Linked DNA regions of Canis lupus familiaris. Each later gene encodes a partner of the first gene's protein in a complex. Links are inferred from orthologs where the notes say so. Each region holds a gene or a part of one and is shown in the gene's direction. Other genes may lie near its edges.

Evidence for each region.
Region 2: the proteins of XPO1 (region 1) and RANGAP1 are in contact, whole or in part, in a cryo-EM structure (PDB 9B62), measured with the Homo sapiens proteins. The link is inferred for Canis lupus familiaris from reciprocal best matches to the Homo sapiens genes XPO1 and RANGAP1. Residues at the interface, in NP_003391.1 of Homo sapiens: Lys245, Ser248, Thr249, Tyr252, Lys253, Glu281, Gln282, Val284, Thr285, Leu289, Met292, Gln293, Gln296, Arg340, Asn342, Leu343, Lys514, Val518, Ile521, Lys522, Leu525, Glu529, Arg532, Lys534, Lys537, Ala538, Ala541, Met545, Phe554, His558; in NP_001265580.1 of Homo sapiens: Ala2, Asp5, Ile6, Leu9, Ala10, Thr12, Leu13, Ala14, Thr16, Gln17, Val18, Ala19, Gln22, Leu23, Ser24, Phe25, Lys28, Glu44, Arg55, Ala561, Thr564, Lys565, Pro566, Ser568, Glu571, Ser572, Ser574, Phe575, Arg577, His578.
Region 3: the proteins of XPO1 (region 1) and PKIA are in contact, whole or in part, in an NMR structure (PDB 2L1L), measured with the Homo sapiens proteins. The link is inferred for Canis lupus familiaris from reciprocal best matches to the Homo sapiens genes XPO1 and PKIA. Residues at the interface, in NP_003391.1 of Homo sapiens: Val518, Lys522, Leu525, Cys528, Glu529, Lys534, Lys537, Ala538, Ala541, Ile544, Phe554, His558, Lys560, Phe561, Thr564, Lys568, Phe572, Glu575, Thr576, Val580; in NP_006814.1 of Homo sapiens: Asn36, Leu38, Ala39, Lys41, Leu42, Ala43, Gly44, Leu45, Asp46, Ile47, Asn48, Glu51.
Region 4: XPO1 (region 1) and XPO5 share a complex: the UniProt entries of both Homo sapiens proteins name them as parts of the nuclear export receptor complex. The link is inferred for Canis lupus familiaris from reciprocal best matches to the Homo sapiens genes XPO1 and XPO5.

Annotation. Positions count from the first base shown.
Region 1 is NC_049231.1:62,837,741-62,843,344, reverse strand, and holds part of XPO1 (exportin-1), read left to right. Parts: intron 1-555; coding exon 556-690; intron 691-963; coding exon 964-1,147; intron 1,148-1,644; coding exon 1,645-1,751; intron 1,752-4,542; coding exon 4,543-4,737; intron 4,738-5,604. UniProt on the Homo sapiens protein: Mediates the nuclear export of cellular proteins (cargos) bearing a leucine-rich nuclear export signal (NES) and of RNAs.
Region 2 is NC_049231.1:24,910,762-24,916,853, forward strand, and holds the start of RANGAP1 (ran GTPase-activating protein 1), read left to right. Parts: upstream 1-2,197; 5' UTR 2,198-2,307; coding exon 2,308-2,392; intron 2,393-2,773; coding exon 2,774-2,923; intron 2,924-6,092. UniProt on the Homo sapiens protein: GTPase activator for RAN. Converts cytoplasmic GTP-bound RAN to GDP-bound RAN, which is essential for RAN-mediated nuclear import and export. Mediates dissociation of cargo from nuclear export complexes containing XPO1, RAN and RANBP2 after nuclear export.
Region 3 is NC_049250.1:26,827,458-26,833,061, forward strand, and holds part of PKIA (cAMP-dependent protein kinase inhibitor alpha), read left to right. Parts: intron 1-1,185; coding exon 1,186-1,363; intron 1,364-4,389; coding exon 4,390-4,469; 3' UTR 4,470-5,604. UniProt on the Homo sapiens protein: Extremely potent competitive inhibitor of cAMP-dependent protein kinase activity, this protein interacts with the catalytic subunit of the enzyme after the cAMP-induced dissociation of its regulatory chains.
Region 4 is NC_049233.1:12,220,290-12,226,606, reverse strand, and holds the start of XPO5 (exportin-5), read left to right. Parts: upstream 1-2,570; 5' UTR 2,571-2,758; coding exon 2,759-2,863; intron 2,864-4,486; coding exon 4,487-4,608; intron 4,609-5,959; coding exon 5,960-6,032; intron 6,033-6,317. UniProt on the Homo sapiens protein: Mediates the nuclear export of proteins bearing a double-stranded RNA binding domain (dsRBD) and double-stranded RNAs (cargos). XPO5 in the nucleus binds cooperatively to the RNA and to the GTPase Ran in its active GTP-bound form.

The DNA of each region.
Region 1 (5,604 bases):
ACTATTTTTTTTTTTCTTATTTAAAGGTCTGTTTATTAGAGTAAGAGTACATGGTGGGTGGGAGGGCTCAATCTCAGGACCATGAGACCATGACCCAAGCCAAAACCCAAGTGTTGAATGCTTAACTGACTGTGCCACCCAGGCACCTCATGACTAGTATTTTACTCAGAATTCATAAATGGCAATAGAGTAACACCATTGGATTCATTCAACATACATCTATGGTTAAATTTTTTTAAATTCCAGTATAGTTAACATACAGTATTATATTAGTTATGTGTGTACAATATAGTGATTCAGCAATTCCATGTATTACCCAGTGCACTACTTACTCCCTATCACCTATATCACCTATCTCCCCAACCCACATCTCTGCTGGAGTCATTAAGTTTTCATTGTAGGACAAAAATTTAGCCAGAAGTTTATTAGGCTATTTTCTTACCTAATGTAAGTTGTTTCTCAGACTCAAAAAAGAAGGTCTAATACATATGTAAGTTGGTTGTTTGTGGTTATCCTTATGATGCATAAACATAAAATGTCTGCCATTTTACATAGGTCCATACATTTTATGAAGCTGTGGGGTACATGATTGGTGCACAAACAGACCAAACAGTACAAGAACATTTGATAGAAAAATACATGCTACTCCCTAATCAGGTTTGGGATAGCATAATCCAGCAGGCAACCAAAGTAAGTTCTACTCCTTTTTATCAAAGTTCAAATGGAATTCAAGAAGATCGTGTTATTTTCAAAAGTAACAAAAACTATACTGTCATTTTTTTCTGATTTGATGGTATATTGGGAATGTTAATCTATTCATAGTTGTAGCTACAGGTAATAAAGATTTCTGTGTTTCCCTATTTTGCATTGTAAATGTGGTAGTGATTTTGGAATAGGTGTGGGTAGTATTTTTTGCTTTAAATTTTCATGTGATAAATGAAATTTATTACTTGTCCTTCACAGAATGTGGATATACTTAAAGATCCAGAAACTGTCAAGCAGCTTGGTAGCATATTGAAAACAAATGTTAGAGCCTGCAAAGCTGTCGGACACCCCTTTGTAATTCAACTTGGGAGAATTTATTTAGATATGCTTAATGTATACAAGTGCCTCAGTGAAAATATTTCAGCAGCTATCCAAGCTAATGGTAAGTGATTCTGAATTTTTGTGGAATTGGTGAATAGCAAATCAATTTTACATTCAGTCTTGGGCAGCCTGGTGGCTTGGGTTTAACGCCGCCTTCAGCCCAGGGCCTGATCTTGGAGTCCCGGGATCTAGTCCCACGTCAGGCTCCCTGTACGGAGCCTGCTTCTCCCTCTCCCTATGTCTCTGCCTCTCTCTCTCTCTCTCTCTCTCATGAATAAACAAAATCTTAAAAAAAATTTTTTTTTACATTCAATGTTCATTTCTCAAAGATTTAAGTTAACTCTCCCAATGTTCCAAATGACAATTATTTTTAACTAGTTGCATATACCTTTTCCTTCTAAAATTAGTCTTCGTTTATTTTCCCAGTACATTCATCTGTGTGCCCGTTGCCTTTATGCCTTTGGGTGGTAAATGGGAGCTATTATATCTGAAGTACATGTAACTGCCAATGTAGAGTTGTAGTTGTCAAGTTAGATTTCACTGGATTGTATTTTTTAGGCGAGATGGTTACAAAGCAACCATTGATTAGAAGTATGCGAACGGTAAAAAGGGAAACTTTAAAGTTAATATCCGGTTGGGTGAGCCGGTCCAATGATCCACAGATGGTAAGTGAAATGTTTTGCTTTTTAAGTTGATGCTGTATTCTCTGGTCTATGCACATAGCTCATTTAAAGGTAATTTCGAGGGAAATATTTGGGCTTATTTTACAATGACCTATTTTTTGAGTCCTTGAATGCTTGAAAATATTATGTACCATATTCCTAAGAAATTGCTGTTTGTGGAGGACACTAACAAGGTGATATTTAATAAGATAGCTTGGGTCATTTTTCACCCCCTGTGGATAGGTAGACATTTGGGAGAAATTTTTTTGTTTCTTCATGATTCTTCAGAGCAGTTTACAAAGCTGTCATTAATTTGACTCTGAAGTGAGAGTAAGGGCTTTCCCAGTGGAATGCTTAGAAATCTCTTTTACTCTTAATTTTTTTTAAGTTTTTAATCATTTCCAGAAAAGAAAATGGTTTCAGAAACTCAACCATACTCCATATATGCCTTAACATGGGAAAATGTGGGTTATTATTTTTTAAAGCGTGTATTTTTGATTTATTCTACCACTGATTGTCTTGATCCTTGAACATTACAAAGAATCTATCACGTTAATCTTTGGTTGACAAGTGTGCTGTTGCGTTTGTTCCAACAAATGAGATATTTTTCAGGGAACTTGTTCAGAAGACAGTTGTGGAATTCTCAAGATAATAAATGTTGAAAGATTTTAAACTAGTGTATTATGAGATCAGAAATGTATTTAAAATTGGACAAGAGGGGACGCCTGGGTGGCTCAGCAGTTGAGTGCCTGCCTTTGGCCCAGGGCATGATCCTGGAATCCTGAGATCAAGTCCCACATCAGGCTCCCTGTGTGGAGCCTGTTTCTCTCTCCCTATATGTCTCTGCCTCTCTGTGTGTCTCATGAATAAATCAATAAAATCTTTTTTAAGAAATAAAACTGGAGGGCAGCCCCAGTGGCGCAGCGGTTTAGCGCCGCCTGCAGCCCAGGGCGTGATCCTGGAGACCCTGGATCAAGTTCCGTATCAGGCTCTTTGCATGGTGCCTGTTTCTCTCTCTGCCTCTCTCTCTGTCTCTATGAATAAATAAATAAAGTCTTAAAAAAAAAAACTGGACAAAGATAAGATGAATTAAAGGAATGTGAAATTCACAATTTAGAGTAGCTTGGGCAAATTTTAGGAGTATCAGTGATAATAATGAGAGGGTATCAATTTACAACCAAGATTTGTATTGAATGGGGCGGTGAATTAAAAAAATACTCAAAAACAGGGATGCCTGGGTGGCTCAGCCGTTTGGCGCCTGCCTTCAGCCCAGGGCCTGATCCTGGAGACCCGGGATTGAGTCCCACACCAGGCTCCCTGCATATGGAGCCTGCTTCTCCCTCTGCCTGTGTCTCTGCGTCTCTCATGAATAAAAAAAAAAAATCTTTTTTTAAAAAAAATAAACACACTTAAGATCCATCTTGTTAGGAAAGAATTACTGAAGTGTTAAAAGTAAAATGAGAACAGTTCTGGTCTAAGATATCAAGTGGGTTATTGGAAAAATAATTGTGCTTATCCTTAAAATTTTACTAGACTTGTATTATATATAGTAAGTAGGACACTACTAACACTAGTGACCTTGTTACAAGAAACACTGTTTATTGTCCATATGGTAATAAAGAACCTATTAAAGACACATAAAGCTACACCTTAATATGACCCTGTTTACTGAGACTCATGTCTTCCTGGTACAGTTCTAATTCCTTTTACAAGAGTAAGTGGTGGCTTTGGGTTTTGTTTATTAAAGTATTTACCAGTTAGCATTCACTAAGTTTAATAAAAATCATTGAATGGATGTCTACTTTGTATTAGATATGCGCTGCTTGGTTTTTATAGATATTCATTGACAAAATTAATGCAGTATTGATTAGGAGGGCTTTTCTTTTCTTTTAGGTAAGTTATCCCATATAACATATCCCTAAAATCCTGGCCCTGCCATAGTAACGTGTAGCCAGTAACTTCATTTTGGGCCTTAGTTTAACCTTAGCAATTAGATTTGAAATATCAATATATCTGTGGCTCTTCCCAGCCTATTATAATTCCTTGGTTTCTTTTGGTAAAAAGTCTTAATGTCCAAAACCAAATTAAAAAACGGGATTTTCTAGGGGTACTTGGTGGCTCAGGTAGTTGGTCCAGCAACTGCGTTTGGCTCAGGTCAGAATCCCAAGGTTTGTGATTGAGTCCCCACATTGGGCTCCCTGCTCAGTGGGCGGCCTGTTGCTCTCATTCTGTCAAATAAACAACCTTTAAATTTTTTTTTTAAAAATAAAACGTGGGGGATCCCTGGGTGGCGCAGCGGTTTGGCGCCTGCCTTTGGCCCAGGGCGCGATCCTGGAGACCCGGGATCGAATCCCACATCGGGCTCCCGGTGCATGGAGCCTGCTTCTCCCTCTGCCTGTGTCTCTGCCTCTCTCTCTCTCTCACTGTGTGCCTATCATTAAAAAAAAATAAAAATAAAAAAATAAAACGTGGGATTTTCCAGTTTTAAGCAGATATTCAACCTAAATTTCAATATAACATTGACCTAGCTGTTTATGATGGTAAGCAAGTGCATAGGATAAAACTTGGGGGATCTCTGGGTGGCGCAGCGGTTTGGCGCCTGCCTTTGGCCCAGGGCGCGATCCTGGAGACCCGGGATCGAGTCCCACATCGGGCTCCTGGTGCATGGAGCCTGCTTCTCCCTCTGCCTGTGTCTCTGCCTCTCTTTCTCTCTGTGTGACTATCATAAATAAATAAAAATTTAAAAAAAAAATAAATAAAAAACTTGGGTAAAGTTTTTTTTTTTTTTTAACAGGTAGCTGAAAATTTTGTTCCTCCTTTATTGGATGCAGTTCTCATTGATTATCAGAGAAATGTACCAGCTGCTAGAGAACCAGAAGTGCTTAGTACTATGGCTATTATTGTCAACAAGTTAGGAGGACATATAACAGCTGAAATACCTCAAATATTTGATGCTGTTTTTGAATGCACATTGAATATGATAAATAAGGTATGTGGTTTACATTTCAGTATGGGAAATTCTGCATTATGTATCCTTGTAAGACTTGAAAGCATAAATGATAGCTATGGGATTAACTAGTTTAAATATTTGAACATTTAGACCAGAGAAGTACTTTTAAAAATATTAACTATTGGGCAGCCCTGGAGGCCCAGTGGTTTAGCGCCACCTTCGGCCTGGGGTATGATCTGGAGACCCAGGATCGAGTCCCACGTCAGGCTCCCTGTGTGGAGACTGCTTCTCCCTCTGCCCCCCTTTCTCTCTCTTTTTCTCTCTCTGTCATGAATAAATAAATACAATCTTTAAAAAAATGTATTTACTATTAAAAAGATCTTTGGCCATTTGGATGGCTCAGTTGATTGAGCTTCTGCTCTTGGTCTCCGCTTGATCTTGATCTTGAATTCAGAATGGTGAGGTAACACACCAAGTCTAGTCTCCACACTCAGCAAGGAGTCTGTTGAAGATTCTCTCCCTTTGGTCCTCCCCCCAATTCACATGTACTCCCTCAAATCTTAAAACAATCTTAACTGCAAAATAGTAAATTTACATAAAAACTATATTCAGTAATGTATATGTGTATATATATACACACACACAAGAAATGGGGAAATGTATTAAGTAAGATAGGAAAATGTAGATCTAAGTCCACAAATTTACACAGTAGCTAAAAATTCTCGGATCTATATTTGTGATCTTGAAGTCAGAATCATAACATGGTAGTAATTTTCTTAAGAGTAACTTGAAAATATGTTCTTTATGGGTTTTGACTCCTTATAATGGGACCTTGTAGTCCTTATTTTTAGTAATTCATTTGTGTAATCAGTGGTAATTACATCTTCCATGAGAGGCAAATTGTGT
Region 2 (6,092 bases), about 38 Mb from region 1:
CCCACGCCCGCCGAGGGCCCGGGCTGCCGCCGTGGCCGCGGGATCGGCCTGAGTCGCTGCGGACGCTTCGCACGAGCGAGAGATGTGCACCAGAGAAAATCTGCGGCTTTGGTGCCGGGAAAGGAAAGCGCTGTTGGCGTATCGCCTGCCTGTCTTTGCTCTGCGGCTGACCCTGTGCAGACCTTGGACAGCTCAAGTACTCTCTGTGCTTTGGCCTCCTAGTCTTTAAAGTGGATGGTGCGTGCGTGTAGTGGACTGAGGAATAGGCCCCTTTCCAGCAGAGGAGTTGTGTGTTCCAGTAGGAACGTGTCTGGGAGCCCCACCACCATTTTTTTTTTTTTTTTTTTTTTTTTTTGCCGAAAATTGTCCCATTCCCAGAATTGCAAGTGGTGGCCGGGTTTCAGGCTAGGGTCCCCCCCCCCCCCCAGCTTCATCTCTTCATTCTTGGGGGACCTTCTAGATGTCAGGCCCTAAGTTGCTGTCAAAACATCTGTCAGAGTCTGGTCTTCTCTGCTAGAAACCCACCAGTGGCTCTCCTTTTCACTCAGTAAAAGCTGCATTCTTTAAATGGCCTTTGCAACTTGGGCCTCTTGCTGATTCTCTTTTCTCATTTCTTGCTTTTTTTCTCCTTTCCTCTTCTGCACTCCAGCCCCACTGGTCTCCTTGGAGTTCCTCGGATCTCTCCTTCCCCCCATGAAAGCCTTTGCTTTAGCTATTCTGTTTGCAGGAATGCTCTTCCCCCAGATATCTGCCTGGCTCAATCCTTGATGACCTCCAAGTCTTTCTTTCCTAATATCTTCCTAACCATTCTGGTTTGTTGTTATTGTGGGTCTTTTTGTTTGTTTGTTTTTTAAAGATTTTATTTATTCATGAGAGAGAGAGAGAGAGGCAGAGACAAGGCAAAGGGATAAACAGGCTCCATGCAGGGAGCCCAATGTGGGACTTGATCCTGGGACCCCAGGATCATGCCCTGGGCTGAAGGCAGTGCTAAACCCCCTGAGCCACCCTGGCTGCCCTGTTTGTTTGTTTTTAACCTAGGTACTATGCCCATCCTGGAGCCCAGCATGGGGCTTGAACTTATGACCCTGATATCAAGTCCAGAGCTGAGATCAATAGTTGAACACTTAACCAACTGAGCCATCAGGTGCCCCTCTAACCAATCTGTTTTATTTTTATTTTTATTTTTATTTATTTATTTATTTTTGGACCAATCTGTTTTAAATCGCAACCCCCTCGGGGCACCTGAGTGGCTCAGTGGTTGAGCGTCTGCCTTTGGCTCAGGGCGTGATGCCAGGATCCCAACGTCCTGGGATCGAGTCCCACATCAGGCTTCCCACAGGGAGCCTGCTTCTCCCTCTGCCTACGTCTCTGCCTCTCTTTCTATGTCTCTCATGAATAAATAAAATCTTTATAAATAAATAAATCGCAACCCCCTTAAAACTCCTTACCCCCTTCTCCGTTTGTTTTTCTTATCACTTACACAAATAAGATTCCACATGTCTTATTTAGAACACATGTTTTAAGAGGTGCCCAGCTAGCTCATTTGGTAGAACATGTGACTCGATCTCAGAGTTGTGGGTTTGTGACCCATGTTGGGCATAGAGATTACTTAAAAAAATAAAATCTTAAAAAATAAATAAAAATAAAATCTTATAAAAAAGAGAGAGGGCAGTATTTTTGCTTCATTCACTGCTTGGTTCTGGTATCTAGAGCAACGTCCAGAACATAGTAATACCCAATAAATGTTTATTGAATGAATGAGTGGTGCCTTCTTATCTAGGAGAATAATTCATACATATTTGTAAAAATTGGCAAGCCAGGGTGATCAGGGTTAAGATAAGGAGAAGGAGGTGGGAGGCTGGCTATAGGAGCCCAGAGGAAGCCTGGGGGGAGTTGGAGGATTGGGGAGCCATCACAGTTGTATCTTGAGGACGAATAGATTGGGGAAGGACATGTTCTGGGTAAGGAGTTTTTGTGGGCCCTTCCTCGTTCTGTCTTCCATATCCATCATCCTTGGTCTCCCCTGATGACCTGCCATTTCCTCTTTAGGGAAATGGAGTGGTCTTTCTGCCAATCTGCCGAGTTCTTCCAGGCCAGAAGCTCCTTTCTTCAGCAGCTCTGCCCTTGGTCTATTGTGATGGTGGCTGTTGTGATGTAGAGACCTCTGGTCTCCTAGGAACCCCTGAGGTTTGGCCACCATGGATTGCCCAGTCTTCTGGCTAAGGTTGAAACCAGACGGGCAGTGGGCTGACACCTGTGCCCCATCCCCAGAGACATGCCAGCGTGGGAGGTGGGGCATTTCGCGGGATGGATAACCTGGATCCCTTAGCCATCCTAGTCCTGTTTGAGGAATGGGACCCTCAAACAGAGAGCAGCCAGGATGATCAGGCAGGTGTGTGCCTGGAGTAGGCTCTTTGCATTGCAGCTGTTGGTCTGGGCCCAACTACCATTCACTGGGAGCCCAGAAGATGGGCAGCTCAGATGGCTGTGCTTGGTGTTCCAGCTGGGGCCATTGGGGCAGGCGAGGAGTTAAAATAAGCTAGTAATCCTTCAGGGGCTAAAACATGATTTTACTACTCTTGCCACTTTCTCCACCTTTCTAGAATTGTTCCTTACCTAATAGTGTTTTCATTTCTCCCAGTAGTTTAGCTGTTGGAGTCTCCATGGAGGAGGGGGTGTTAAGCCCCTGAAAGGGCTGATGTCCTACCCGGCCCTCCCCAACCAGGGGGCCCCAGGAGACTCCTGTCTCTTAATGAAACTTCATCCTGCTCAGTTTGCAGATTTCCGGGGGAGCCCAGCAACGTGGCCAGCATGGCCTCTGAAGACATTGCCAAGCTAGCAGAGACACTTGCCAAAACCCAGGTGGCTGGGGGTCAGCTGAGTTTCAAGGGCAAGAGCCTCAAACTCAACACTGCGGAAGATGGTGAGTTCCTGCTTGGGCTGGCCCAGGGGAGGAAAGAGTGTGTGCCAATGACTCTTGTTCCAGCTTGTTTAGCTACATTATCACGTTGTTTGTTACCTAGTAGCTCTGTGAGATAGTTTTGGGTCCCTTTTAGAGTGAGGCTCAAAGATGTGCCCACAAGGACATATATAGGCTTCCCTGCTAGTCATCATGTTTTTGGAGGCCATCCTTGCTGGTGACAGCTTAGGTTGGCTGGTGGAAAGGGCCACTTTATGTCTTAGTGGGAGGAGATAGTAAACAACAAAGGATCACAACAGCAGTGTCAGGGTATAGTCCCTGACTTCTTACTTCCCACCTTTACCACTATGATCCCAGACTGGTTTTGGGAATACTGGTTGGCTTTCCCAGAGGTAAGGCCCTCTTGGGAGGTCTGGTCCGTGCAACTGAATGCCCCTGGAAGAGGGAGGGATGTTCTTGTCCTAGGAACCAGGACTGTAGGGAATTAGGAAGCAGAATGCAGGCCTTGTCTGTTCATCCCTGGCCAAAGCATGGCTAACACTGGTCAACCCTGAATCCCCTGACGTTTGGAAGTGAAGGCACCTACGCCAGCACTTGCAAGGACTCTTGAGGTTCTGGCCCAACCAGGGAAACTGGTATGGACTTGCCCGGTTGTCATGGATTGCAGGCAAGCTTGCTCACCTGCCCTGCCTCAGAAACTGGAGTTCTCAGGTTGTCAGGAGCATGGCAGTGCACATTCCTGATGTCTCTGAAGGGCCTTAACATTTACAGAGTCCCTCCCTGTGCTGTTATCACTTCCGATCACACGTCATCCCTGAGGGGGGGATGTAGAAATGTTACCATTTTATAAATAAGGAGAAGAGATTTGGAAGACCTAACTTGTCCAAGGTCATCTAGCTGGTAAGTAGCAGAGCTGGGATTTTAACAGAGGTCCAGCTAAGTCCCTATTCTTGTGTTTGTCAGTAGACAGCTCAGTTCAGTAAAGATGAATTTGCTTTTTTTTTTTTAAGATTTAAAAAAAAAAAAAAATATTATGTATTCATGAGAGAGAGAGAGAGAGAGAGAGGGAGAGAGGCAGAGACACAGGAGGAGGGAGAAGCAGGCTCTATGCCGGGAGCCGATGTGGGACTTGATCCCAGGGCCCCAGGATCGCGCCCCGGGCCAAAGGCAGGCGTTAAACCGCTGAGCCACCCAGGGATCCCCCTTTTTTTAAGATTTTATTTATTCACGAGAGACAGAGAGGGAGAGGGAGAGGCAGAGACACAGGTAGAGGGAGAAGCAGGCTCCATGCAAGGAGCTCGATGCTTGATGGGACTCGATCCTGGGATTCCAGGATCATGCCCTGGGCCAAAGGCAGGTGCTAAACCGCTCAGCCACCCAGGGATCCCCTGAATTTGCTATTAAATTCCATTCCCTGAATGCTGAGTCAGGCATTCTTTAAGTGCCTGACTTAAGGAAGTTTATCCTCACAAAAGTCCTTGAGGTAGGTCTCATCCCCATTTTGTAGATTGGAAAAGTGAAGCCCTGGGAAATAATAGGACTTGCCTAAGGGCACAGATACAGGTAATGGAGCTAGGATTAGAGCTCAAGCTTGTCTAGCTTTAAAATCTGTGCAGATCACTAATTAACCAGCTCAGGCTGGACATGTTGCCTCCATTTTCTTGGTCACCAGGGATGCCCAGCTTATAGCCCCGGCCTCTGAGGACCTCCTAAGATGGAGTAGGAAGGAGGTACTCAACTGCCAGGGGGTAGAAGGTGAAGCATACTCTGAGCAACGTGAACAGAAAGCTGTGGGAAATACGGCAAGGGAAAGGGATCATTTCTGGTTTAGGAGGGCCCCGGAAGTCCCCATGGATAAGGTGGTTGAACTGTCATTGTAGGGGAGAGGGCAGTAGACGCAGGGAGTATCATGTGAGGGGAGGAGCTGAGACACATAGGGTGGGCTTGGGCGAGAAGGAATCAGGGTGCCATAGGGAGCCCAGTGCAGACAGCCTTGAATGTAGTGTGGAGGAGTCTGGCAGCTGGACCCTGGGCCCAGAAAGGGCCTCCACCTTGGCTGGCAGTGAGCTGGCATAGTCAGGAGAGGGCAAGGCCTGTATGAGGAAGCCATGATGCTTGGAACAAGGCTCTTCTCTCCCCAGTAAGTCATTTAAGGACCAAGGAAAGGCCTTTCTGCTTTCCATGGCTGCATAGTAAACACGGATGTTACTTTGTGAGGCGGTGGAGGCTGAAAGGCAAGCCCTGCCGCTCAGCCTCTTGACAGCTGGTTATTCAGGAGTGTTGGGACACATCCCTAAACCACATTTGAGTTACATGGAACCCCATTTGGATTGAAAACCAAGTGAGAGAATCCACTCAGCAGTGGTCCCCACCCTTTCCTGTCTCTGCTTGTCCGTTTTGGTGCTTATTCTTCCAAACTCGCCATGTACCTGTGACTCTCCCCAGGATTGAACTTGTGCACAGAACCTGTGTATCTCCATACTTCTCTCACTGATACGGCATAAGTCTTCCCTTGGGGTCCCTGGCATCTCTGTTGCCTGGCTCTTAAGGACTGCATAAACATTCCCGTGAGCAGGTGTCCTGCCTCCTTGCTAACCTGGCCAATCCCTGGATGTTAGAGGGGCTCTGTTTTGGAGCAGGTCTTCCAAAGGGCTGAGAGATTATTTCAGCCCTTGCACCGTGCACTTTGTGCCAGCTACAAAGGACATCTGGGCACCTGGGACCCAGGGGAGGAGGGGAGGGACTTGGCTCCTTGCAGGGGTTGGGGGAGTGCTGTATAAAGTCCATGATTATGCACGGAAGCAAGGATTTGGGGAGGAGCACAGGGGTAGAGTTTTAGAAGACCAGTCTGAAGCATAGCTCTGTCCTTGTCCTGAATTCCTGGGCAGAGTTCCTTCATTCTTTGAAACCTCAGCTTCCTCTTCTAGAAAATGGGAGGCTCATACCTGGCCAACCTTCCTGTTGTGAAATGAAAAAAGGAGAATGAATGCTGGTCATCACTTTCTGGCTGTGTGAGCTCAGTAGGCTTTTACATAACCTCTCGGTATCTCAACTACTCAATTGTGGAATAGACATGAGTAACTACTTTACTAGGTGTGGAGGAGAATGTTAAGCACTCCCCTCTGGGGGGCATGGTAGTGAGCTGAGGCAAAGTCCCAGAGCTCATGACCCA
Region 3 (5,604 bases), on another chromosome or scaffold:
GTAGTTTTTTGTTAATGCATATATCATATTTTACCCTGAGGGACACCTGGGTGGTTCAGTGGTTGAGTGTCTGCCTTTGGCTCAGGTTGTGATCCTGGGGTCCTGGGATTGAGTCCCACATCGGGCTCCCTGCAGGGAACCTACTTCTCCCCAGGCCTATGTCTCTGACTCTCTCTCTCTCTTTCTCTCTGTGTGCCTCATGAATAAATAAATAAATAAAATCGTTTTAAAAAAGTACCTTGAAAATATTTTATTTCATTGAGTCTTTAAGCATATATATTACAAGTTTGGAAAAGTCACTTTCATTGGCTTTTTTTTTTTTTTTTTTAGGGTGGGAGGGGCAGAGGGAGAGGGAGAAAAAGAATCTTAAACAGGCTTCACACTGGGGTTGATCTCACAACCCTGAAATCATGACCTGAGCTGAAATCAAGAGTGTGATTTAACCGATTAAGCCACCCAGGCACCCCTCATTGACTCCTTTTTAAACTTGAACATTTTATTTCAAAGATTCAGTCAAGAAAGATTGTTATTCCTCTCAAGCAATGACTTAACTAGGGGGCCAAAGGGAGCCATCCTCCTGGACTTGGAGCAGTTATTTGGTCACTGACATTGCTTAGAATTGCTTGCACATGGTGATGATAAAAAGCAAACTGAATTTTGGTTAATTTCATTATTAGACTCTGCAGACAATGTACTTGCATTCTGCTTATCTCTAGGATGGACCACTTCCATTCTGCTCCCAACCTTGGTATGCTACTGATCTCAGGTTCTTCTTTCTGCCTTTGAAGACTGACTGAAATAGTATTAGAGAAGGAGAATTTTATGATCTAAACCAGGTGTCCACAAATTATGGTATTCAGGCCAAATCTGATCCTATTATTATTTTTGCAAATACAGTTTGTTTGACATTTAATGTAATTACTTTAACTACTTTTGCACTACAACCACAAAACTGAGTAGCTGGAATAGAGACCATTTAGCCCTCAAAGCCTAATTTATTTACCATCAGGCCTTTACAGAAAAAAATTCCCTGATGTTTGATCAAGGATTAAAGCATTACTTGCTCTGTGGACACCTAAGCAAGACCATTATTTCACGTTCAGATTGTAGGCCAATAATTTAATAAGTGTCTTTGTTAAATGTTACCATTCACCAACCTTATATTAGTTTTTCTTTGTTTTGTAGTCCCTGCTATGTGGATATTTGTTAGCAATGACTGATGTGGAAACTACATATGCAGATTTCATTGCTTCAGGAAGAACAGGTAGAAGAAATGCAATACATGATATCCTGGTTTCCTCTGCAAGTGGCAACAGCAATGAATTAGCCTTGAAATTAGCAGGTCTTGATATCAACAAGACAGGTGAGTTGCTTGACACACATCTCTCTCTGAACATGGGATGATTTGTAGCATTTCACTAAGTAGGATTAAAACATGAAAAATCACCTTTGAAAGTAATTTAGTAGAGTTATAAACAGTCTAAGGAAGATAAGTCAGGGACTAATCTCTTAATCACTCATACTCCATTTTCAATGACTCTTCTTTATAGGGTTTCCCACTCAAATGCAGAATCCTTAATCTTATTTTGGTAATGCAATCAATAAAACACATAGGTTTTTTAAAAAAATCCTAATCTCTATAAAAGCTCTGAAATTTCTATATAGAATATTTAACAAAATTGGAGCCCTTCAATATCGGCCATCTGTAATATTTCAATAACCATTTCAAAGGCACAGCGTCTCTGGGACCAATTCTATTGAAAAATGGAAGTAAAATTACATCAGTGTCTTTGGTAAAAAGGTCTTACAGTTTTCTTTTCATGATAGAACTAGTGTGTGGAAAATTTGTCTTATTATTGGGCCTTGCACTCTTCCTACCTAAGTAATCAGACTTTACCAATGAAAAAGTAAAACAAGTTTGTAATATCAAAGTATTTCTGAGTATTTCAATAAATCCCAATAGTTCTTTCATTCATAGCTTTTGCAAGATTTAAAACTGGATGTCTTTCCCTAACAAATCTTGTGTAAAAATAACCTTTAAAAGTGAAAAAAAGGAGTTTACCACAGAGGAACCACAAAGTTGTGTACATGAAAAGCACTTAGGAGTTTCTGACTCATGGTAACCACTCAGTACTTCTTTGCTATTAGAATTTTTATGATGGTAAAGCTTTCTGGTTATTGGAAAACGGAGTCAGAGTTTTATGTTAATGAAACAGCTAAACAACATTACCCTAAAATACCTAGGGATAGTACTTTATTCAATGGCTAAGGGTCAGCAGGTCACAGATTGGTCTTTTCAAATTCAAATTGAAAATAAAACTTTACTACCACCACCTTGGAAATATACAGGCTTATGCATACTTTAGGTTTGGTTGTTTCTCTGTTATTTACTACTAGAAGTTACTTAGGAAAGCAGCTGTCAGAAAGGACTTAGGGAATTATTGCAATTTGGTTGCATGAAGTAAGTAAAATTTTTTCTGTGGTCTTTGAGAGTTTGCTAATTTCTTTTATGAGATTTATATTTTTATTTGTAAATAATATTCTATTTTAAATAATCTGCATTAATTTTAGACACCTCTAATATTATTGATAGAGCAGTTCTATTTCTTCCTCTTCAGTCTTCGCTGAAATTAAGACTCATCAGCATTAAGACCTAGCTTATACAAGAGAATATATTAAATTATATAACAAGTGAAATAAATTCATTTCATATTAATAAATATAATAAAATAATTATATTTTATATTAGCAGTATTATTAAACAAGTTAAATTAATTAAAATATCTTTATGCTATCAAATGTCTTCTTTTCTAAACATTTCTATATTTTAATTACTATTCTCCAGGCTCCTAAAAATTTTTGTTTCTCTTCAAATCCTAAAGTCCAGCAACAGGCAAAATATAAACAGTAGTAACTTTTTTATTATTCTAAGTACAAAGAACTAAATATAGTAACTGCAATTATGACAAATATATAATGACAAATGCAATATCAATGGCTGAATATTATGAGGGACTTCTATAATTCTTGAGTGTTTCAACTTCTTTTTAGTTTATACTCAACAATATTGCTGTCCCATGTTTATTTCAACTTTCTAACAAGCACCTATTTAGCCACGAATCTGTGACTGCAGCATTATGCTAAGCTGTGAGAAGAGTTCTCAGACACCTAGAAAGTTCCAAGCTCCATGGAAGTCAAATTCCTCATCTTGTATTTATGCAGTCAGTTTCATCCTTAAATATTCTTCTGTCTTGTATCTGCCCTAATTTGACTTCATTCTTTTGGTTACCAAGAGCTTTTCATATTTATCAAGTTTTTGTTGTATGCTAATCTACACATTTCAGATTCAGGCCATCTACACATTTTGGGAGGCTATTCATTGCTGTAATAATGAAAGTAGTTTGTGAACATGATATATAATGCCTGGTTATACTCTGAAAACCCCTTTAGGAACAGAATATGTATATTTATGTAGAACTGCCTTTAATTTCCTTAAAGTATAGTATCTGGTGAAATGTTTTGTGTATACTCATTAAGAATAAAGGAGAAATTGCCTCTTAACACATCCATTTAAAGAATGGAACAGCCTACTCACCTCTATCTATTTGAATTATGGTAACAAACACTCAGCAAATATTGATATAGTTTATGTTCTTCAAGGGCAGACTGGAGGCCATAACTACTGGCCAGAGACCCATGAGCTAACATAATGTCCCTTCATCTTGTACTGTTGCTTTTAATTTTTTTTAAGATTTTATTTATTTATTCATGAGAAACACACAGAGAGAGAGAAGCAGAGACACAGGCAGAGAGAGAAGCAGGCTCCACGCAGGGAGCCTGATATAGGACTAGATCCCGGGTCTCCAGGACCATACCCTGGGCTGAAGGCAGCGCTAAACCGCAGAGCCACCCAGGGTAAAGTAACGAAACATCTGAGAAAGCAGGTGGGTTCTCGACAAGTAATATAAATAATGTAAAATGCAATTTTAAATATTTCTTAAAATAAGACAGGAGTGAAATAGTAAACTTGCTTCCCATTCTGATTTCTGCCTAAAATCACTTTCAATTTCTGCAACCTGTGAAACTCTAAGTGTCAAAACCTGGCCTTGAGATTTCCTAGCTATTTATCAAAAGCATAGGTGATCACTAAGCACTGTATAAATTATTATTTTGTTTTTGAGCTATGCTGTCCCTAGTTCACAGAACCAGAATTAGCCAGCCTTTGAAACACTAATTGAAGAATTGATTATCAATAAAATACACTTGTCTCTATGAGAACTTCAGACTTTTTGAGTATCTCTTAAATTCCCAATATGATATCTTAAGAGTCAGTAAATATAGACAATAGTTTTTACTTTGCCTTTATCTTTTTCTCATTGTCTCTTACAGAAGGTGAAGAAGATGCACAACGAAGTTCCACAGAACAAAGTGGGGAAGCCCAGGGAGAAGCAGCAAAATCTGAAAGCTAAAGCCCACTTTGATAACTTCAGCAACATCTGACAATGTCTCAAATCTCCAGGCCTGGCTGGAATGCATTTGTTTCCATGAGTGAAAAAGGGGGGGGAAATATAGCTGTGCTGCATTGTAGGAATCTGCTCATTATCATGTTAAAAATGGGGGCAGAGGTTGTGGCTGCAGACAGACTTTTCTCTACCTCTGTCATTAGCAATGGTTGAAATCATGTGGCTTGTGTTTGGATGTCATTTTTGTATGGATCTTTTCACTTGACCATATGACAAAATGCTTGTAGAGAGTAGCACTGACCTAGATGATGATTCTTCCTGTAGCATCTGGCCCCTCACAATGTCAGAGGATTTAATTGTGTCTAATTGCAAAAGGTTGGTTGAACCCCAGAGTTTAAATATCTCTGGTCCAAGTATTCACCCAGTAAAAGAACCATCCAGAAAGCACTGTTTTTTAGCATTATGTATCTGTGTGTTCCTGCTGTGTTATTTACACTGTTTTGTATTGTATAATAGATGCTCAGCACTGCCCCCTTCTTTGATTGCTTATGAGAAACAAAAATAATGTATGTTACTGTGAATTTTTATACCACTCATTTTTAAAAGGGCTGCCTTTTTCCTTCTCCACAGTGTGGTGGTGTACACAGGATAGATCGCACTTTTTTTTTAACTTAATCTTTCCCCATGATTCACTGTTGGTGAATTTATTAAGTCTAACCAATGAATTAAGACTCTTTTGCTCTATTATACAGGCATTTGAAACTATCTGTTAATGTGAATTTTACTTGAATTCAGTCTGTTTGGTGTCTGCACAGACCAGAATTCAATATGCAAATTTTGTTTTATTTTCAATTGGAGAACTTTTCCCAACTAATATATTTTTTTAAAGTTTTTAATTATGAGGATTTTGGATAATCAAGATGGTGGGAAAGATAAAACAAGATAATATTAAGAACGGGAAACATTTTGTTCTTATGGAATCAAACTTCTCAATGCTGTATGCTACTATTTAAATTTGGAGGACAACTTATCTGCATGGAGCTGTAACAGATGGAAAAAATTATCTTGCAATCATGTGGACACCAATCACAAAAGTAAAGCCCTTGCATTGTGTTTTTCATGTCTTTTTTCAGCCCTATCA
Region 4 (6,317 bases), on another chromosome or scaffold:
CCCATCCCTATTTCATAATGCAGATGCCTGATTTAAGCTTGGATTGCTGAGGCATCCACTTCAAAGATGACTATCTTGAATAAACACAGCCATTTGTGTGTGTATATATATATATATATACACACACACACACTATATAAAGACTTTATATAGTGTATATACACTTTATATAAAGACTATATAAAGTGCCAGGCTGCCTCCCCAACCTGAGACTGCTTTGTTTTAGAGTTCTTGGTTGATTTCAATAACTGGCCATTTTTGGGTGCTTGGGCTTTTTGTTTTCCTTTTTCTCTCTTCCTATACTTTAAATTCCTGCTGTTTTTTAATTTAAAATTTTATTTTTAATTTTATTTGAGAGAGAGCATGAGCGGGAGAAGGCAGTCAGGAGGGAAGCGGACAAGAGAGGGAGAAGCGGACTCCCCGCTGTGCAGGGAGTCAGACTCAGGGCTAGATCCCAGAATCCCAATATCATGACCTGAACTGAAGGCAGATATTTAACCGACTGAACACCCAGGTGCCCCTCCTGCTCTTATTTTTTAAATTTACCCACGAAGAGGCACCTGGATGGCTCAGTCAAGTGTTTGCCTTTGCTCAGGTCATGATCCCAGGATCCTGGGACAGTCCCACATCAGGCTCCCTACTCAGCAGAGAGCCTGCTTCTCCTTTTCCCTCTGCTACTACCCCTGCTTGTGCTCTCTTTCTCTGTCAAATAATTAAAATCTAAAATAAATAAATAAGCTCACCCATGAAACTCTTGATGGCCACCCTCAACCCCAGTAAAACCCCCAGCCTGTGCTAGCTTGGTCCCTCACTACCTGTAACCTTGCTGTGTACTCACTGCTGTGTCTTGTGATCTCCAGGGCTTGTAAAGAATAAACTTTTTTTTTTCTTTCAAAGTTTCCTGAAGGTCACTGTTATGGTTTGGACAGAGGAGGTGTCTGTGGGAAGCTCACTGGAGCCCAAGTGAGTGTGCCCCCAAGCATTTCTAACCATGGCATTACCATCGCTAGGCTGAGATAGCACAAAACACACAAATACCAATTAAATTACGATCTCTGGTGGTAGAAGCCAAATATCAATATTACTCAGATGTTATTTAAATTAATTAAAGATAATAGATTGAGCTAGCACAAAACAGGGTGCAACCTGGGCACTGTGATTTTTAAAAGGTCTCCAGGCAATTCTAATATGTAGCAGAGACTGGAAACAATAGACCTCAAGTATATAAGATACTTATGGAAACACCAGTAATTGGTGATTTAAATATGAGACACATAGGTTATACAGTTGAGTAAGCACTCAACTGTACTCTTAAAAAAAAATCACATAAGATTAGTGGAAAGAATACAACAAATTTAAAAATCTGAATAATCAAGGTATTAATTCCTTATAAATTCCACTCACTGAAAACTGGCAGAATGTGTAACTTTAAACATTTGTAAGTTACAACCATAACATGTCAGAAATCACCTCACCATGAAGTGGCTTTTGTGTTGCACTGGAACAGATGGTGATGCCAGAATAAAAATAGTAAACACATTTTCACACACATACACTAAACTTACCAGGGAAGTACCACACGAGATGCAAATGGCAGAAATGGAGTATGAATAGGAAGCAGTGATTTAAGTCCAGCAAACATTTTATTGAGTAAACAAACCCAATATGCAAACTTCAACAGAAAATGAATCTGATGAAGTCTTCAGTTTATGTATTTTGCTGGAGAAAGCAAGAGCTTTTTAAAGATGGAAAAAAATGAAACACACTCGCTGCCAAACCCCCCCCCCTTTTCCGAATAAGGATTACACTGCTCTGAAGTCTTATACGTAGCACTTCAAATGATGCAAACTGCACAAGCCTTCAATAATTGCAATTATTCATCTTCAAATATCTCGACTTATCACCATCTGTACCAAATAAGTTTGGTGCCCGTCAGGCGAGAACACATCTAACGAAAATAAGCACAAGCGAAGAGGGAAGTTTAAGAGCTAGCTAAAATACCACTTTCCCACAAGAAAATTCCTCTCAGGGAACCATACCGGGCCTTTACGTCTCCGTAAGCATGCGTTTGTTTCATCGAATTTTGGCCCAACGTCATCATCAGCCACTGCTACAGCACGAAACCAACAGCCAAGACAACATGAAAAGTCTGCCGAGCGGTTCGAAATTCTCTTACCAATGGGGCAGTCACCTGGAAAAACTGCCAGGCACGGACGCCGGAGATGCCGGGCTCGCTGTCCACTCAAGGAAGACGAAGGCGTCTTGACTATCTGCCCCGTCTCCGGGAGAGGACCAGTCGGCTTCCAGAAACTTATTCCCCGTGATGACGGAGAAACGGACCACGGGTCCCAGACGACCCTGGCTGGGGAAGCCGCCCGCACCGCCCCGCCGGACTAGCCAGGGCTTGCGCGCTCAACAGCCAGCCCTCGGAACTGAGATTAGACAGCGCGCGCGCCGCAAAAGAGCCGTTGGCGCGCCTGCGCACTGCAGCCCTTCCGCTCTCCGCTCCGCCCACCCAGGAGCAACCGTCACACGGGAGCCGCCACTTCCGCGGGCGCGTGCGCAGTGGCGAGTCGGGCGCGTGCGCAGCCCCCGCTCCTTCCAGGCTGGAGCTTCTGCAGCTCACGCTCCTCCTCCCGCTCCCCACCCCCCAGCCCGCCGCGGCCCGGTACCAGCTTGTGGTCCTCCGAAGGGAGCGGTCGGTGCCTCGTGCTCCTGGGACGGCCGTGGTGCGCGCTCGCGGCGCGTGGCACTAGCCATGGCGATGGATCAAGTGAACGCGCTGTGCGAGCAGCTGGTGAAAGCGGTGACGGTCATGATGGACCCCAGCTCCACCCAGCGCTACCGGCTGGAAGCCCTCAAGGTAGAAGGGGTCCGGCGTCCTGGGCCTGCCCCAAGATCCTCCCCTAGCCCCCGCGCCCCCCCCCCCCCCCCGCCCCGCCGCCTGAAGCCCTGCTGGTCTCCCGCCCACGCGGCCCTTGAACCTCCCACTGCAACCCCCGGGGGCCCTTAGCCTTTCCCCTCCTCGCCCTCCGCGCTTCTTCTCACTCGGGCTTTCTCTGCCAGTCGCGCCTGCCCTTTTCTCGGGACCCTCTGGTTCCCTGCTGCTCCTCCTCTCACTACCACTTGCTACTGCCCTCTCTTCTCCTCTCCCCACTTCTCTTTAGTCCTACCCACACCACAGCCCGATGCTTCTATTTTACTACCCCAAGCCCCACGTCCCCTAGCCTTCCCGTGGCGCACGTGCCCGTCACGTACGTCCCCAACACCAGCTACATTCTTTACGGTCTCCCCTGCATTAAACGTTTCCTTGCATCCTCCTGACCCATCCTAGCCGAGCTCCAGCCCCGCTAGTGCCACTTTATTTACATTCTTACCCCTCTCACTAATTCTCTTCTGTGTCTTGGGTTATTTCTGGGCTCATTCTCACACACCCTCCCCCCCACGTTCTTTTACTTGTTCTATTCTCAGGCTATTTTGCGCAAAGATGAACTTCTACCACTTACTTTGCATTTTAACAAGGGCACTTTGGTTTCCTGAAAGTAGTTTTCTTGAGTCCGCATGCTCAGCTCTTGGGACTGACTCTTCTATTGCAGTTTGGGAATGCTAATACAAATTGGGATGGTAATAAATTGCGCACTCATTCCCACATCAAACTACGTGTGTGGATTGTGAGAAATGACCATTAGGAAAAACACTTGTGCACGTTATTTTTTAAAGTTTTTAGTAATTTTAAATGATGTCACATCATTTAAATGTACAGTGAACATCATTTGGAAGGAACTTTACTTTTAACACCATACAGTGTTTGCCACAAGATTTGGAATGAGAAACAGTTGTGTTCTATTTGTTTTTTTGTTATGAAATATTAAAGACATACACAAAAGTAAAGAGAATAATACTACAATGATCTTGTATATACCCCACACCTAAATTAAAGAGTTATAAAAATTTTGCCACATTTGCTTCCCACCCCCACTCCTCCCTTTTGTTTTTTTAAATCAAATCCTAGAAGTTGTCATTTCACCCCTATATACTTCTGGAGTACATCTCTAACAAATAATTTTTAACTCCTATAGGTCAGACTATTTTCAATGTTATTGGCCAGGGCATGGCAAATTTGTAACTATCAAAGTGAAAGGAATGTTTATCAGTTCTTTTTTTTTTTTTTTTTTAAGATTTTATTTATTTATTCTTGAGAGACAGAGAGGGAGAGGCGGAGACACAGGCAGAGGGAGAAACAGGCTGCAGGCAGGGAGCCCGACATGGGACTCAATCCCTGGACTCCAGGATCATGCCCTGGGCCAAAGGCAGGCGCCAACCCTCTGAGCCACCCAGGCTGCCCAGTTCTTTACTCATATACTATTGATCTAGATTTTGCATTTTAAATATATAGCTCAGGTGGAGAAGATGAAGTTTTTTAAAATTTTTTTAATCCCCACTGTCTCTTGCATCCTAAGGGAAATACTAACTTTTGTTGTTGCAGTTCTGTGAAGAATTTAAAGAAAAGTGCCCTATCTGTGTCCCCTGTGGCTTGAGGTTGGCTGAGAAAACACAAATTGCCATCGTCAGACATTTTGGCCTTCAAATCCTGGAACACGTTGTCAAGTAAGGAGCTTTTGGACAGTACCATTGAAGTCTGTGAGAGAGCAAGTCTTTATTTCTTATATAACTCCTAGAGATAATCTTTAGGTGAGCAGAGAAGATCAATCACTGAGAAGAAAGGAATGATTTCCCAAGAGATTATCATAACCTCAAGAGTACTCTTATTCAAGACTTAACCTTTCTCTTCTTCAGTTTCTTCATCCATGTAGAATACATACTAAGTACATACTAAGCATTCTACAAATATGAGCTGATAGTGGTTCAATCAGTATTGAGCTCCCACTGTATACCAGCAGATCTCAGAGTCTTTTTAAAATAATAGAGTGTATAGGTAATTATTTATTTATTTTTGTATAGGTAATTAAATCTCTGATTAGGCATTGCGCTTTTAAATTTTTTTTTAAAGTTTGAGCATGTTCCTTCTCTGAATGGCAAATCCAAAGCAGAATTATATGAGAAAAACTGAAAACCCTTCCTTTTTTTTTTTTTTTTTTAATTTTTATTTATTTATTCATGATAGTCACAGAGAGAGAGAGAGAGAGGCAGAGACACAGGCAGAGGGAGAAGCAGGCTCCATGCACCGGGGGCCCGATGTGGGATTCGATCCCGGGTCTCCAGGATCGCGCCCTGGGCCAAAGGCAGGTGCCAAACCACTGCGCCACCCAGGGATCCCTGAAAACCCTTCCTAACTTGAGTCTTCTACCCCTAGCATCTCCCAAAAGAGTCAGCTTTAAGACTTAGCCACAGTCTTTGTGGGATTGTGCTGTTCATAAATAAGCCAGCACATTAAAAAAAAAAAGAGAGAGAGAGAGAGAGAAGTTAGTGGTATCAATAATGTGTTGTTTTTTTTAAGATTTTTTTATTTGACAGAGCAAGCGCACAAGCAGAGGGAGCAGCAGGCAGGGGGAGAGGGAGAAGCAGGCTCCCCACAGAGCAGGGAGTCTGATGCAGAACTCGATTGCAGGATGCTGGAATCATGACCCGAGCTGAAGGCAGATGCTTTACTGACTAAGCCACCCTAGCACCCCAACATTGTAGTTTCTGAAAAGCAACTATATTTGTTGTAGTTGTCCCAGGTAGATATTTGCTTTTGGTCTATCAGTAAAATCAGCTAATCTGTGTACAAATCCTGTAAATTTCAGTTAGTGGACCACTTCTTATACAGAACTTTTTCTCAAGAATTTTTCTGTTGTCAGCATTTTAGTTGAACATGGACTGTTCTTGTCCTTTCTTTAAAGGTACAAAATCAGAAGTATAATATTTTAGTTCACTAACATAATATAACAGAATCAAAGCTAGTCTCTTTTGAAGACTTCTAATGTGGTTCTCTGACCTTACGCATTTTGGTGGCCAGGTTTCGGTGGAACAGCATGTCTCGATTGGAGAAAGTCTATCTGAAGAACAGTGTCATGGAGCTGATTGCAAATGTAAGGAATGGTTGGTTGGAAGACTTGTGTTTTAAAGGTAGTTTAGACTAAGTGTGACTTTGACTTCTTCAGCATTTATGTAAAAATTCACTAGTTCTGCATAGGTCAAACAGCATGCTCAACAGGGCAGAAAATATTAAACATTTTCAACAAATGAACAAGATTCTTAGATTTAAAGTAGATTGCACTTTGCTGTTTGTTTCCTTTTATTCCAAACCAAATTTTACTGTATGATTTTAACAAAACAAAATAGGCAGGATGGATTTGTATCAGGAATTAGGATAT